Linked DNA regions of Oryza sativa Japonica Group. The main gene of each other region encodes a partner of the protein of the gene in region 2 in a complex. Links are inferred from orthologs where the notes say so. Each region holds a gene or a part of one and is shown on either strand. Other genes may lie near its edges.

Region 1 (5,203 bases), on a different chromosome or scaffold from region 2:
TGATGTTTTTTCTGGACTATTGCCATTGCAGAGGAATTCAAATGCAGCACCACTGATCTGTACTCATTTCTCTTGACATAGTTTTTCGCCATTAAGAGGAGCTGCTTCAAGAGAGATGACCTCTGCTTTTGAGTTATACGGTGCTTCCAATTAATAGTGATTACCAAGCAACAAATTTGTGGGGAAAAAAGAAATATAAAACAACTGCATTTCTCTGTTACTTATGGTCATATTTATCTGTTTAAAAAGCAAATAGCATTATTGATCATCACTGATCTGGTATATCAATTTGTGGTGTACCATAAGCTAGCATGATTTGCTTCAAAAGTTTAGCAAAACAAGTTAAGCTTGGAAGCCACTCATTAACAAAAGAAGCTGGTTGTTTCTATTTAGCAGGCTGACAGGAACATGCTCCATTTCATGGTTTTGCTAAATGAAGTGCAGTTGTCAAGAGAAATCAGTGCAGAATGGCAAGGTAGGATGCGATTATTCGATCAGTGCAGAGCCAATGGAAGCAAGGCTGGGGCATAATCTCTTCTAACTGTTTTTCCATTCTTTCCCCTTTCGATTGTAAACTCATGGTTGACACATATATGTACAGTTCAGATTTATAAGTTGCAGCTATGCCTTTAATGGATGAAAGTGGGCATATATGTAATTTTGAGATGGTTTTAAAGTGAGTGATTTATTTTCTTGTGCTTGGTACAAACTAACAATATGCATGTAAGAAAGGTTTAGGATAGGGTAGATTTACTCCAAAGCTGCTTGCAGCAGATAAGTTTACACTACAATATTTAGCCGACAGGTTCATGGGCAAGTGTTTGTGAGTTTTTTGGTCCAATTTTTCTAAAATAATAGGCCAAGTCTTTTATTCTTAGATGAAAAACAGGCTTTCCCTATTGTCTTCTGAGGTTTAGCTTAAAAAAGCCCACGAGTTCATGAAAAGGTAGTTGTCAGAACTGAGAGGTATATAGCCTTCCTTGGCTTGCTAGCCTTCAACCTATCGTTAGGCAGTAAAATGGAACGATGGCCAGTTCTATATATTATGGCTCTGCTGTGCTTATACCATTTGTTATTGGAGCATTTCATCCCTAGGTCTATAGCAGCGCTCCTCTTCATATCCTCATTCCCATGTGCTCATGAGGTATGTGCGTCGATTTGCATCCAAATAATATCAATGATGGACGTTTGGTAACTAAATGTTAATTCTTAATTACCACAACTAAAATATATGCCGTTTAATTGCAATCAGGTTGTCCAATAAACTTGAAGAAGATATAGGTAAATGGAAGCCTGATGATATCATGCAGGTAAATAAAGGCCTGATAAGATCAAATCAAGTAGGAATTTGTATTTTTTTTACCAAAGATTAAATCAAGTGGGAATCTCGTTTTTTTTCCCTTAAAGTGCTTATATGCTAATAGGGTAGATTTAAGAGGACGTCACGGGCCCAATCAGGCATGCGAAAAATCACGCGTGAGGGTGTTGCGGGCCCAATCGCAGAGGAGCACAGAGGCGTATGTGGAAAATGAACTCAGGCGCAGGTCTGCAAGCGGCAAGGGGCACGTAAAAAGGTGCATGCCTAATTACTTCGTACGCGTATGATTTAATAGAAACATAAAATTAAAACCTATTCCAATACAGATGATGTACCAAAATTCTAACGAAAACATCTTCAATTTTTATAATAGTAGAGAAGGGATTTGCATCATCAAATATCGCCGTAGCGTTAGCACGGGCATTTTACTATTTATAAAAAATGTGACACACGATTATAGCCCCCGTGATTCAATAGCGGCAGCAAAGATCCCTGCAACGCTCAGGCAGCAAAAGCATACACTAAGTCACCGACGCATGGGCCCGTGCGAGAGGGCGCTGACGTGTGGGCCCCACATAAAATTCTTCCGTCTCGGCTTCCCCCTCTTTTTACTTCTCTCTCTCCTCCCCTAATATCCCGAGAGAGAGAAAGAGAGATCCCCCAACGCTTCGCGAATCGCAAATCCCTCTCGCTTCTCTCTCTCTCTCTCTCCTCGCGCCGCCGCCGCCACCGCCGGCGCCGCGGCCATGGGCGACTACGGCAGCGGGATGATGCGGGGGAACCCGGACGGCGGCGGGATGCAGTCCCGCACCAAGGGCCAGCGCGTCAACGTGCAGCAGCTCAAGCTGGTAAGCCCCCACCCCCCCCCTAAACCCTAGCTGCTATAACCCTAGCTCCTCTCCGGATCCGCCTCGATCTGAGATCTCTCTCCATGGCTCGCGACCACAGATGGGGCAGGGACACCCGACGGGCCTCACCCCCAACCTGCTCAAGCTCTTCGAGCCCCGCCCGCCGCTCGACTTCAAGCCGCCCGTCGAGAAGCGCAAGTTGCCGGCCTACACTGGTATATTCCCTCACCCGCCTCATCTTCTATTCTATCTGTTCGGTTCTAGGGGGATTATGAATATATTTTTTTCTTTTAATTTTGTCTGTTAGATTTATTTTGTGGATGAGTTGCTTCCTGATGGATGGACTCACTCTTGTTGTTGATTGGTTGGTTGCAGGGATGGCGCAGTTCGTGTCGCAGTTTGCGGAGCCCGGTGACCCTGAGTACGCGCCACCCGTCCCCACATGCGAGACCAAGGTATACTGATACTGCTGCAAATTTGTTTTCTGTATCAATTTTAACTCGTTTGAAGCGCAATCGTTAGTGTTGCATTTTGTTTTATGTCTCCGTAGTGCAAGATGTTCCTACTTCTTATGTTGTCGTGACCATGTCGTATTTATGCCAATGGTATACTTTTCGTGTGGCCATAACCATATTGCATAGTTTCCACAACCATATAGTTGCTTTTTTCAATCGACAAAATCAATTATTTGTAATGGTGTCAGAACGCTTGCTGGTCTCTGAACAATCAGGATTTCTTAAGACTGTTAGTATTAGTATGTGAGCTTCTATGACTACACCTGCTGGAAAGTCACTCACAATTTGACTGTTTGAGCATTGTTCCACTATAGTCAGCACAGGAAAATTAGGTCCAATAAGTTCTACCTGAAATTGCGAGGTAAGAGTTGGAGTCAAATGTTCCCACCTCTGAGATGAATATTTCCACTTTCACCACATGAAAACTCTCTCAAAATAAGACATGTGTAGCTGTCCAAACATTTGTTTGCCAAAATTCTTCTTCTGGTAATTGTATGTGACTATGTCAAATACGCAGCTTTTTGTTGGCACTACTGGCTTTACTCTTTTTTTTTCCATGTCTGTTATTGTTTCTAGATCTACTGTATTATTCGTGCCTATTGTCATTTCATCATTCCAGGTCATGACTTGGTGATTATGTTTTATTTACGCAGGCTGAAAAGAAGGATAGGATCCGCAAAAGTAAGCTTGACCAAGGTGCGGCTAAGGTGGCTGAAGAGCTTCAGAAATGTAAGTTCTTTCTTAGCTGCTCTTCCCTTTGTATCATATGATAGATACTGATAACATCATTGGTGTGGTTTCTTAATGTAGATGACCCACAGAGTGACCCCAATGCCACTGGAGATCCATACAAAACACTCTTTGTTGCAAGACTTGTAAGTTTTTTTGTTGCATCATTCACAAATTATTTTGAACTACATAGTTGGTATTATTTTTGTATGTTACTTCCTATTGACTCCAGCAAACGTTTACAGAACTATGAGACGTCTGAGCATAGGGTCAAGCGGGAGTTTGAAGCTTATGGGCCTATTAAAAGGGTAAGTACATGTGGTAAATTCCAGTGCAGGTGGACTTATTCCTCTTTGGTAAGGTGTTTGGTTGTTCTAATTCATCTACAAAAACATGTTTTAAGAAAAAGCTGGTTCACTGCCATTATATATTGCTTACTTGGAATTTCACAACAAGGTGCTAAAGGATGAAAGGGATATCTTCTATCTCTCTCCGATTTTCAATGGGCAGAATTGTCTGTAGTATTTGTTTCTAAATCAAACAAAATGCTGTGAAGTCTTCTTTTTTGTAAAGAACAAAAATAAGTTATTCTGTCAAGTCTTTTTTTTTGCAGCAAACAAAAATAACTTCTTGTTTTTGTCAAACAGTATTCATAGCACTCTCATTTTCAAGTTGGGCAATACATTCACTGTTTTGTGTGTAAGCATGCATTTGCTGTTTGCTTCTCAATAATGATGTTGGTTGCATTTTGCTAAACCAAGGAGAAAATAACCAAATAATCTTCTCAAATTATTTAAATAACACTTTTATCTTGTATTGACATGTATTGGTTTGGGTGGTTCGGACAGTCTTTTCTTTGTTATCCATTTCTAAACATGTGGGCTCTGTTGATGTACTTAGTGGATAAGTAATATAGAGCTCCAGCAGAAATTATGTCTTCTGGTAATTTTTGTTAGACATATTATCTGAGTTACTGTTGAGCAATTTAATGTGCGAATGGTTGGTACAACCATTAGAAGACTAAAAAATCCTGGGAAATACAAATACACACAAGCAGGTATTTTTACTGCATGCAGCCTTGATGTTTTTTTTTCTTAGAACATCTTTTCCCTTTTACTCTCGGAAAAGATCAAACCATTTGCTTCTGCAGTAGGCACAATGTATCATTTGTTTTCCCATTCTATGAACTTGCTTCTCGTGTGTATTAACTGGAGCAAACAAGCTTGAAGAATGTTGGCGATGGCACAAGTAAGCTTAGATCACTTTATGCTTTTAAAAGCAGCTTATCTGCAGGCATGGGGTTTCTACATTCTGGGATTTATTAGGTTGCTGGTGAGTACAGTGTTTATGTTACTTTCCCTGAGCTGTTAAAGCTAGTTCTGCTTTCAAGTGCTGCTTCTCTTGGAGGAAACAACAGCAAAATATAATGCAAATGACATCTCAACTTTTAGAGTTGAAGATGGCTCCATTTTCTGATGCGTAACAGCGTAAGGAATAGACATCACTGACTTGCTATTTGTCACCTCCATTTATGTAACCGTTGTCTATTTTGATGGTCTTACCGACGAAGGCTGAACGAACTATATGCAATGGAGAGGGTAAATGGGTATTGTATTTAGTCCACCACCATCTTCTTTTCTTAATCTAGTAAATTCCCTGGTAAGGGGGTATCACTGTATTTCCCACAAACGCCAATCAGCCAGACTGCTTTTTGCCTCCAACTGTGTTGATCTGTGCTGGATTTCACTCCTCGTAATGAAGGATCTACATATGCAAGGTTAGCACGGCTGTTT
Region 2 (5,113 bases):
TTGTCCTCCGTGACGACGACGGTGGACGCCGACGCCGACGCGGGCTCCTCCGATGGCACCGGGTCCGGCGCCGCCGCGCTCGCGCACCGCCATCCTGGCGACAACCATCACCAACAGCAAAACCGTCAGAAAGATAATCAATCAATCAATCAAAAAAAATCGTGGCGCGTTCGGGCACCTCGAGTCGGGAGGTGGCGGTTGCTGCGGCGGAGGGTGGCGGCGGCGGCGACGGCGGGAGGAGCAGCGCGGCGGTGGTGGAAGGAGGAGGCGAAGCATAAGGGGGCGGTGGCGCGCGCGGAGGCGACGGTGGAGACGAAGAGCTCCATTTTTTTTTTCTCTTCCTCGGCTTTCTGTGGAGGCCCGAGAAGGCTGGGGGTTTGAGGTTTTTGTGAGCTGGGAGGAGGATGAGGGTGGTGGTGGGCTAGTGGCTCAGTGAGACTGTGCGAGTGAGCTGTGCACTACTACTACTTGTGCTGATGCTGTCCGAATTTTTCTTTTCTTTTTCTTTTTCTTCTCTTTTTTCACACACCCTGATTTTTTGTTTGTGCTTTTGGAGGGTGACATGTGGCGCTTTCTCTTTTGCTCGCTCCTTTTCTCTGAGTACCACCTGTGTGTGTGGTGTGGTTTCGCATTCTTTGGATGGATCTACTTTCATTTTCATTCTTCTTTTTCTGGTACAATTATACTCCCTGTAACTGTAGTCCTGTACCATGCAATTTAACTGTAGCATAATTCGTATTCTAGAAGATTTTGGCCTGTTAAAATACAAACAAATTGATAGTGTCCGTAGTACATGTGGAGTAGTATGTGCTGCCCATTTAGATCGAGTTGTCTGGGTACTTCCACGCCACCATTTTTTCCAAGTCCATAAAATATTTTCTATTTATTTTAGTACGGCAGATTTTCATTCGCTAGCCAACCATAGAACTGACACATTACATAGGCACTTTCTCTTTTTCCTGGGATAATACATTAACATTTGGGGTAACATTTTCTAGTGGACCAAAAATTTTGTCGGCTGGTAACACGGCCTTTGAGAAGGCCCAGTACTGCAGGTATACCATTCCGTCCGGTCTCCAGCCCGCTTCCTTACGTTGTACTTAGTAGGATAATTTGGGCTGGCACAGTAAGTAGGCCTAGCATTTTCACCGACCACGCGCGTGGGCCTGGCTGGGTGGTGACAATGTGTGTCATGTGGAGCCCAAATTGGCAGATTAAACTCGTGTTAGCAAGCGAAATTAATGGGCCCACTTGTCAGTCTCATTTATTCTCGTTAAACAAACAGGCAAACATTCCGAGCCGTTAATACCGTAGCCTCGTTACTCGTTACTCACTCCGTCCAAAAAAAAATAAATCTAAAATATAGAATGTGACATATCCTAGTAGAACGAATCTGGACATATGTATGTCCAGATTTATTGTACTAGGAAGTACTATGTTGGTTTTTTATGAGACGGAGGGAGTAGCCATTACCCGTGCAGACAAGCATGGCTCCGTTCGAGCAGGAGAGATTGCTGGGAGATTGAGGAGAAAACATCTACTTTTCTACGCGCACACTTCCCAAACTACTAAACGATGCGTTTTTGGCAAAAAAAAATTCTTTTGAAAAGTTGTTTTAAAAAATCATATTAATCTATTTTTAAAACTTACAATAGTTAATACTCAATTAATAATACACTAATGGCTCACCTCACCTTATTTTGCGTATCTTCTCAATCCCCTCTTTCCTATCCTCTCAGGATTCAACCCAGTTATCATCATCACCAGTATTAATAGTTTCCAGCCCAAGGAATTATTTTGTTTCGGACTAGAAGTCTCAGACACGATGGTATTTGCTTCGGATTGGCTAAGGATTTGGTGCATATTTATCGGCCCAGCCCAAATTCTTATCGGGCCTAGCCCATCCGGTAGCCGCCATAACCCCACCGGCCACCGTGGTCAGCTTCTCTTATCGCGTTGCCCAAATAATTACACGAATCGAACCAAACCCTAGCTTTTCCTCTTCGATTCCCGATCCCCCACCCAGCGACTCGCCGGAACCCTAGCCCTAGATCCCGCGCGGCTTGCCGCCGTGCTAGCCATGGCGTCCCTCAAGGAGCTCCTCCCGACGCCCAAGGCGGCGGCGTCGACGTTCTACGACCACAGCAGCGACCCGTGGTTCAAGGAGCGGTATGGCGGGGAGTCGGCGCAATCCGACGCGGCGGCGGCGGCGGCGAAGCCTTCGGGCCCCGCCAAGCCCGTGCCGCCGTACGGGAAGCGTGGCGGGTTCGTGCCGCGGCGGCCGGAGGACTTCGGGGACGGCGGCGCCTTCCCGGAGATCCACGTCGCGCAGTACCCGCTCGGCATGGGCCGGCGCGACGAGAAGGGCGGCTCGAAGATCCTCGCGCTCACCGTCGACGCCAAGGGCAGCGTCGCCTTCGACGCCGTCGTGAAGCAGGGTGAGAACGCCTCTAAGATCGTTTACTCAAAGCACAGCGACCTCGTGCCCAAGATTGCCACGGCTGATTCCGAGGCAACCGCGGACGACGAGGAGTACCAGAAACAGATCGAAGAAACCACTGAACGAACTAAAGCTGCCTTGGAGAAGGTTGTCAATGTTCGGCTCTCCGCCGCACAGCCCAAGAATGTGCCGACGCATGATTCAGAGTCAAAGTTTATCAAGTATAAGCCATCGCAGCAATCGGCAGCCTTCAATTCAGGTGCCAAGGAGAGGATTATTAGGATGTCAGAGATGGCTCAGGATCCTCTTGAGCCACCGAAATTCAAGCATAAGCGAGTGCCCCGCGCTTCTGGATCACCGCCTGTCCCAGTGATGCACTCGCCACCACGGCCAGTGACAGTGAAGGACCAGCAAGATTGGAAGATTCCACCATGCATTTCAAATTGGAAAAATCCAAAGGGTTACACCATACCACTCGACAAGAGGTTGGCAGCTGATGGAAGGGGGCTGCAGGAGGTTCAAATTAATGATAACTTTGCAAAGCTCTCTGAAGCACTGTATGTGGCGGAGCAGAAGGCCAGGGAGGCAGTACAGATGCGATCCAAGGTGCAGAGGGAGCTGCAGCTGAAGGAGAAGGAGAGGAAGGAGCAAGAGCTAAGGGCACTTGCACAGAAGGCGCGCATGGAGAGGACTGGTGCCCCACCTGCACCTACAGGGGTTCCTGCTGGTGGTGGTAGAGGTGCTGTTGATGACAGGGAGGAAGATATGGATTTGGAGCAGCCTCGTGAGCAACGAAGGGAGAGTAGAGAAGAAAGGGAAGCAAGGATTGAGCGTGACAGGATTCGTGAGGAGAGGAGACGTGAGAGGGAGAGAGAGAGGAGGCTGGAGGCCAGGGATGCTGCAATGGGCAAGAAGAGTAAGCTCACTAGAGACAGGGATCGTGATGTCAGTGAGAAGATTGCCCTGGGCATGGCAAGCACTGGCGGTGCTAAAGGTGGGGAAGTCATGTATGACCAGAGGTTGTTCAACCAGGATAAAGGAATGGACTCTGGGTTTGCTACAGATGATCAGTATAACATCTACTCCAAGGGTCTCTTCACAGCGCAGCCAACGCTATCCACACTTTACAGGCCTAAGAAGGACGGTGATTCTGATGTGTATGGCGATGCAGATGAACAACTGGAGAAGGTTATGAAGACAGATAGGTTCAAACCAGACAAAGGATTTTCTGGTGCTTCAGAGAGGTCTGGAAAGAGAGACAGACCTGTGGAGTTTGATAAACAGGAGGAGAATGATCCCTTCGGTCTTGATCAGTTCTTGACTGAAGTGAAGAAGGGGAAGAAAGCTGTTGAGAAGATTGGAAGCGGAGGAGCCATGAGGGCAAGTGGTGGATCCTCAATGAGAGATGATTACGAGGGTGGAGGATCTGGGAGGTCCCGCATTAACTTTGAAAGAGGTCGTTGAGGTATTAGATCTGCATGTTTTGTTCAGAAGTTTCTCCATGCATTCCAAATGTTATCTGGAGGGTATTCTGTTGAGAATATCAACTTCTTGATGAGAGGACTTGATGTCTGAGTTGTCTTAATGCAACGTCTACTTCCAAGGGGCATCTTAAGGAGTGTACCTGTTTAGATCCTGTGATTATGCTTGTTGTTTATCTATTTGTGGATGGATCTGTAAGCTTAACTTATCATCATTCCATATCCCTTATATTTTGTGGTGCTTTATGAAGTCTCGATGTGTCTGGCTGACCTTACATTTTCTGGTACTGTACCAAGTCTTTAAGATGTATCTGCCTATCTGGCTGAAATACTGAGACACGGGATACATATAAATTCCGTGTTCTGTTTTTTCACAAGTTCTAATTATTTCATGCTACCATGATTGTTGGCTGGATGGATTTCTGGGTATTGCCAATATCGGTATGTTGTTTTGGGGATATTCATGTTTTGTGCAAATAGTGAATTCTTCGAAAATTTTTTGTCGGTAAGCATTTTCTGTTGCAAGACTTTGCCGGAGCATTCCCTTTGCTTGCAGTTGATGTGGTTTCTGTAGTACCAACTTTCGGATTAAATAACTTCTCTTTTGTGATTATTACTGGTAAGATCATGGCATAATTTTAAAACACTATCCATCCTAAAATAAATAAACTTAATACATGATATGATATATCTTAGTATTAGAATCTGAACAGATACACACTTTCAGTTTGTTTTGTCTTTTCCTTTAGTTATGTAGATTCAGCCATAGTGTTGTGTTTTTCTTCAGGTATGCAGATTCAGCTATAGGAAATTAGGAACACAGTGAAGAGGAAAGTTTTCATTAGCACGTTTTCTTGTGTGAAGCGCAAATAACAGGATTTTGGTGTTCTTTGATTTTGGCCAAAATCTTCATGGCATGGATGGAATTTTCTCAAAGCTGAAAACCGTAATTTTCTGACGGGCTGAGCAAATTACGCTGGCTGATAACTCCGGCCTGCTTAATGCCTAGGCCCAAACGAAGCAGCCGAGCAACCTTGAGGTTCCATCGGCACCCCTGTTCGGCTACAAAAAGCACCTCACTTTCTTCCTTGCTCATATCTGAGCCCAAGATCCTGATGCTACTCTTCCCAGTGACAAAGAGAACCTCGGTCTCTGACGAATTTTTTTCATTTTTAATTTTTTTCTTTTAATA
Region 3 (4,811 bases), on a different chromosome or scaffold from region 2:
GGGGATGGAACTCTGGCCAAAATTGACAAGATTTTGAATGAAAACATAATACTTCCTATGGTAGCTGGTAATGCTTTCTTTCAACTATAATATACCATTTACTAAATTGAACGGAAAATGAGGACAGATAGCATCTTGAACAACTTTCCTGGTACAAGTACCATGGTGAAAATGCTTTTCTTTTCCAAATAAAACTGAAAGTGAAACATGATTCCACATACCACCATCTTGTTGCACAGCACAAGATCCTTCAGAAAATGAAGCGCTTAAAAACAAGATGCTTGCTTTCTGTGTCAAATGCTTCAAGATTGGAAATCGTCAGCCCATCAAGCAAAATCAGTCGATGTCTCTGCCATTTCTCAGGCAGCCAGGCAGTTGATTCAAAAGGCCCCACTTGGACATGCTCTAAAAGGAAATGGCATCGCATCCAACCTGTACAGAAAGGAAATGTACGAGGAAGGATGATTATTTTGCTTGCCAAATGCCTGGAGTATTCTACTCTATGGTTTCTACCTGTATTTCATTCATCAAGTAGTATCACAGACTTCTCTGTATCTATACTACCTTAGAAATTGGCGCTACCAACTTGCTGCTAATATGCTCTTATTGCTTCAGGTAGGGGCTAATTGTTTGCCTCTACTATGCTTGTTTATCCATCTACATACCAAATATCAGAAACATACTCATAGCTCGACCACATACTTTAATGATATATCATTCCAATGACATGAAAAGCACTTGCACTACACCTGAACTTACTGCTAGAAGCAGCTACAGTATAAAACACCTCTATCACTGCATAGAAGTTTGAGGATTGTCATCTGTTACAATCAATATTAATGGAATAATACGCAACAGCACCTTAACTGCAAGGTGAGCTAGAGCACACCACAGAGAAACAACCAAAGATAGAACATTTCAGATTCAGGTAAAGCACAATCCAGCATAAATACTACTGTCAACCACAAACATATGATTCTGTAGAATAAAGGTACAACTAGATAGTTTGTTGTCCATAAGTAGTGAAGCTACTCTAGCTTTAAACTAGAGACGAAGCAACTGAAATTCCACTCATGACAAAGCACACCGACAGATAAGGCTAAACTTAAATAAAGCATTACGCAAGATACAGCTACTCCATAGTATAGCTAGAAGCTAGTTATTGACTACATTCTAGTAGTAAGCCGCAAAAGGTTCAAGCATTCCAACCCGGAGAAATACTGATTTAACCAGCAAATGGGAGATCTTCAAGAGGCCAAAAGCAATCAGAGGGGCCAGGGTAACACAACATACATAGACTGCCCAATTTTGCTGGTTCATCTCATAGATGCTCTAATGGCCTCATTTACTGAGCAACCCTAGGTTGCACACCACCATAACCACTGCCATAATTTGATTGGCCTTCAGACACTCCATTGACTGAAGCCCCAAACCCTCCACCTTGTGAAGGATCAGCCCAAGCATTTGGATAACCAGAACCGCCATTCCCGCTTCCATAGCCAGCACCATACCCAGATCCACCGCCAGCAGCTGGATTGCCAGCACCATCTCCCCTTCCTCCATAACCCCCATATCCACCATGATTACCATACGATGCATCTCCTCCATATCCACCATATCCATAGCCCTGGCTCCCATAGCCTGTGCCTGCACCAGCGGCCTGACTAGTGGGTGCATTACCTCCAGCAGAAGAGTTGTTCCAAGCAGCATAGCCTGCATTGCCACCATAACTCCCAGTGCCATAACCAGACGGAGCTTGACCACCCCATGGTCCTCTGTTTGCTCCTGGAGGACCACCCTGGTAACCTGAACCAGGCGCATTTGGATTGCCATAATGCCCACCATACCCAGCAGGAACACCTCCAAATCCTCCAGCCCCATAATTCCCATACGCAGTTCCAGGGTTAGCATGCCCATATCCATAACCAACCGTACCAGCACCATATCCTCCAGCACCATAACCGGGATAACCACCACTACCCTGCTGCGCCTGACCATACCTGCTAGCGTCACCTCTGCTATCATAGCCCCCAGAATTGGAGTTCGGCCCATTGTTACTCTGGTAACCCCCACCGCCGCCTCCCATGGAACGGCCACCACTGCCGGAGCCAGGGTTGGCCTCCCTGGGCAGGGCGCGCTTCACCTCCACCATCTTCCCGCTCAGGTCATGGAAGGTCTTGTGCAGCACGCGGTCAACGGCGTCCTCCGCGTCGAAGGTGATGAACCCGAACCCCCTCGGCCGCTGCGTGTTCTGGTCGTACATGACGACGACGTCGGTGACGACCCCGTAGGTCTGGAAGTACTGCCGGAACTCGTCCTCCGTCAGGTTGGAGGGCAGCCCGCCGACGAAGATCTTCTTCGTCCGCGCACCGCCGGCGTCACCACCGCCGCCACCACCACCACCACCGGCGCCTCCCCCACCACCGCCCCCACCGGAGGCGTGCCTCCCCCCCGCGCTAGGGTTCGCCGCCTTCGCGGCCTGCTGCTCCTCCCGCGAGAGCGCCCGCTTCACATCAACCTACGAAACCGAACCGAACCGAACCTTGAGAGGAGGGAATCCAACGCGAATATTCGCTAGGGTTTGAGAGGGGATACCGTGCGGCCGTCGAGGGTGTGGGGGTCGACGAGGGCGGCGTCGACGGAGGAAGGGTCGGAGAAGACGACGAAGCCGAAGCCGCGGGGGCGGCCGGTGAGCTTGTCGCGCATGACGGCGGCCTGGGAGACGTCGCCGTAGGCGGCGAAGTGGTCGCGGAGCTTCTCCTCGGTGGTCTCCCACGAGATGCCGCCGATGAACAGCTTCCCCTGATCCGACTCCATCTCCTCCCTCCGCCGCTGCTCTCACCTTCTCTCCTTCCTCTCGCTCGCGCGCCTCGGATTCTCTCGCGACGCGAGGAGGAGGAGGAGGCGGGGGTGGAATTTGGGGGATTTCGGCGTCGGGGAGGGGAGGTGGGGGGCGGAGATTTGGAGGGTTTGGGGATATTTTAGGGCGCGTCGTGTGGGGGGTGGGGACGTGGGGGAGACGGGTTATTTTTGTTCTTCTCTGTGGGCTTCTTTTTTGGGGTTTTTTTTTTTTGTTCTTTCTATGGGCCGAATTTGGTGCGAGCTTGTAGGAACTCGAATTTTTTTTATTTTTAATTTTTTTTATTAAAAGTTTTACAAAAAATAATTTTTCATTTTGAAAATTGACAGAAGTGGTCGCCTACCGCCCTCTGGGAGGGCGATTTTTAAAAATCGCCATCCCAGAGGGCGGCGAAAGTGACGTGGCAGACGGCCGTTCGCTCTCGGGCGACGGCCGTCAACGAAATTTGTAGGCGGCCCCCTTGCCGCCCTCCGCTAGGGCGATTTTGTACTGTGCGGGGGGCCGCCTGCAAATGGGCGGCGGGGGGCCTGGAATTTTGCAGGCGGCCCCCTTGCCGCCCTGGGGGAGGGCGAATTTATACTGTGCTTTATATTTTTTATAAATATCAATAGTTATCAAATCTTTTTATATTGAAAACTATACAAGATTAAAATCTCCAAGACTGGTAAAATACAATTTTATTATTTTTTAGGGCCTATTTGGAATGTTACCGTACAAATATTTTGTTAGTGCCAAAATATAAGCAAGTTTTGGCACTACCAAATATTTGGTAAGGTAAAATTGCATTTGATCATATTTGGTTTGCTGCCAAAATGTAAAATTGTAGTGAAGAATGTTCTACATAATCTCAAATCTAGATTACGTATTACCAATGAATAGGCTTCAATCGAAATCAAACACAAGTACTATTCAAATTACCAAAATATTGGTAGGGCATGTTTTTGGTAGCAATCCAAATAGGCCCTTAGTCTTACGCATACAAAAAATCACCACCATAATTAAACATTGTAATGATAAGATAGATAAGAAGTGCCATCGATACACGGTACAAATTTGTCGATCCCGACGAATCAAGCATGCGGTAACCTATCGGCACCTTCTAGGTCGGTCAGAATGCATTGCATTCTCGTGGTCCTTCAATCGTTGATACTCTACTTGTGTTTCTGACTATGTTATCTTCTGGCCATGATATGATGGAGTGACATTGTCGATCCATCGAGTAAATCCACCCATCCTTGGATTGCCCTGTAAAAATAGTAATGTTATTCAGTTTGGGTAGTAATTTTGTGCAAATCATAGCGGATTTTGTAAATGGTTAGACATACAACGAAATCGTTGTCTACATTGGGGCAGACAAAATATCTCCTTCGAAATGTTTGTTCAGCAAAGGATGTAGCCACCTGCCAGCGATCTCTGCACCCACACTTTGGACGCTCGGACCATTTAGGTAACCCTAATGGATTGGTCCTCCAGTCTAAGCTTGCAATTTCCACCCAACGTTCGTACTCCATCCAAACATGAATGAACTGTATGGTCGGTTCAGGTTGCGTTATCAGCCCGCCACTTGAAGTAACTCTGACTGTGTCAATCCATTGTACGAATTGACATTTCCTTACATCCTCCTATGTACATCCATTATGGGATAGTTAAGTTAATGATAGTACTGAGGAGTGATGAAAAGAATAGTTGTAATTACCACGAAATCATCGTCGACAATGTTTGGACACACGAAACACCTTTGTCCTCGAGTTCGGTGCCTTACGGACCTTATGACCTGACAACGGTCACCACAACGACACTCCGGACGCTCACGCCACGTGGGGAGTCCTAGGGGATTTACGTGCCATTCTAAAGCCTCAGCAGCAATTCGACGTTCATGCTCATCCTTCCACCTTAGGTAGTCCGATCTTGTTTCACTACGTGGGTAAGCACGGGTTCCGTCGTTTTGTGG

Evidence for each region. Proteins that work in one complex are often made in the same cells at the same time.
Region 1: SNW/SKI-interacting protein A-like (region 2) and U1 small nuclear ribonucleoprotein 70 kDa share a complex: the UniProt entries of both Arabidopsis thaliana proteins name them as parts of the spliceosome. The link is inferred for Oryza sativa Japonica Group from reciprocal best matches to the Arabidopsis thaliana genes SKIP and U1-70K.
Region 3: SNW/SKI-interacting protein A-like (region 2) and heterogeneous nuclear ribonucleoprotein 1 share a complex: the UniProt entries of both Arabidopsis thaliana proteins name them as parts of the spliceosome. The link is inferred for Oryza sativa Japonica Group from reciprocal best matches to the Arabidopsis thaliana genes SKIP and AT4G14300.

The regions. Positions count from the first base shown.
Region 1 is NC_089044.1:1,015,256-1,020,458, reverse strand, and holds the start of U1 small nuclear ribonucleoprotein 70 kDa, read left to right. Parts: upstream 1-1,980; 5' UTR 1,981-2,064; coding exon 2,065-2,166; intron 2,167-2,266; coding exon 2,267-2,381; intron 2,382-2,541; coding exon 2,542-2,621; intron 2,622-3,334; coding exon 3,335-3,410; intron 3,411-3,491; coding exon 3,492-3,556; intron 3,557-3,655; coding exon 3,656-3,718; intron 3,719-5,203. UniProt on the Arabidopsis thaliana protein: Mediates the splicing of pre-mRNA by binding to the loop I region of U1-snRNA.
Region 2 is NC_089036.1:32,489,864-32,494,976, reverse strand, and holds SNW/SKI-interacting protein A-like, read left to right. Parts: upstream 1-1,979; 5' UTR 1,980-2,080; coding exon 2,081-3,904; 3' UTR 3,905-4,336; downstream 4,337-5,113. Other genes in the region: protein CURVATURE THYLAKOID 1D, chloroplastic, read right to left, coding at 1-94, 179-326. UniProt on the Arabidopsis thaliana protein: Splicing factor involved in post-transcriptional regulation of circadian clock and flowering time genes. Associates with the pre-mRNA of PRR7, PRR9, ELF3 and GI, and is necessary for the regulation of their alternative splicing and mRNA maturation.
Region 3 is NC_089044.1:18,095,683-18,100,493, reverse strand, and holds heterogeneous nuclear ribonucleoprotein 1, read right to left. Parts: upstream 2,933-4,811; 5' UTR 2,818-2,932; coding exon 2,596-2,817; intron 2,519-2,595; coding exon 1,346-2,518; 3' UTR 924-1,345; downstream 1-923. UniProt on the Arabidopsis thaliana protein: Involved with pre-mRNA processing. Forms complexes (ribonucleosomes) with at least 20 other different hnRNP and heterogeneous nuclear RNA in the nucleus.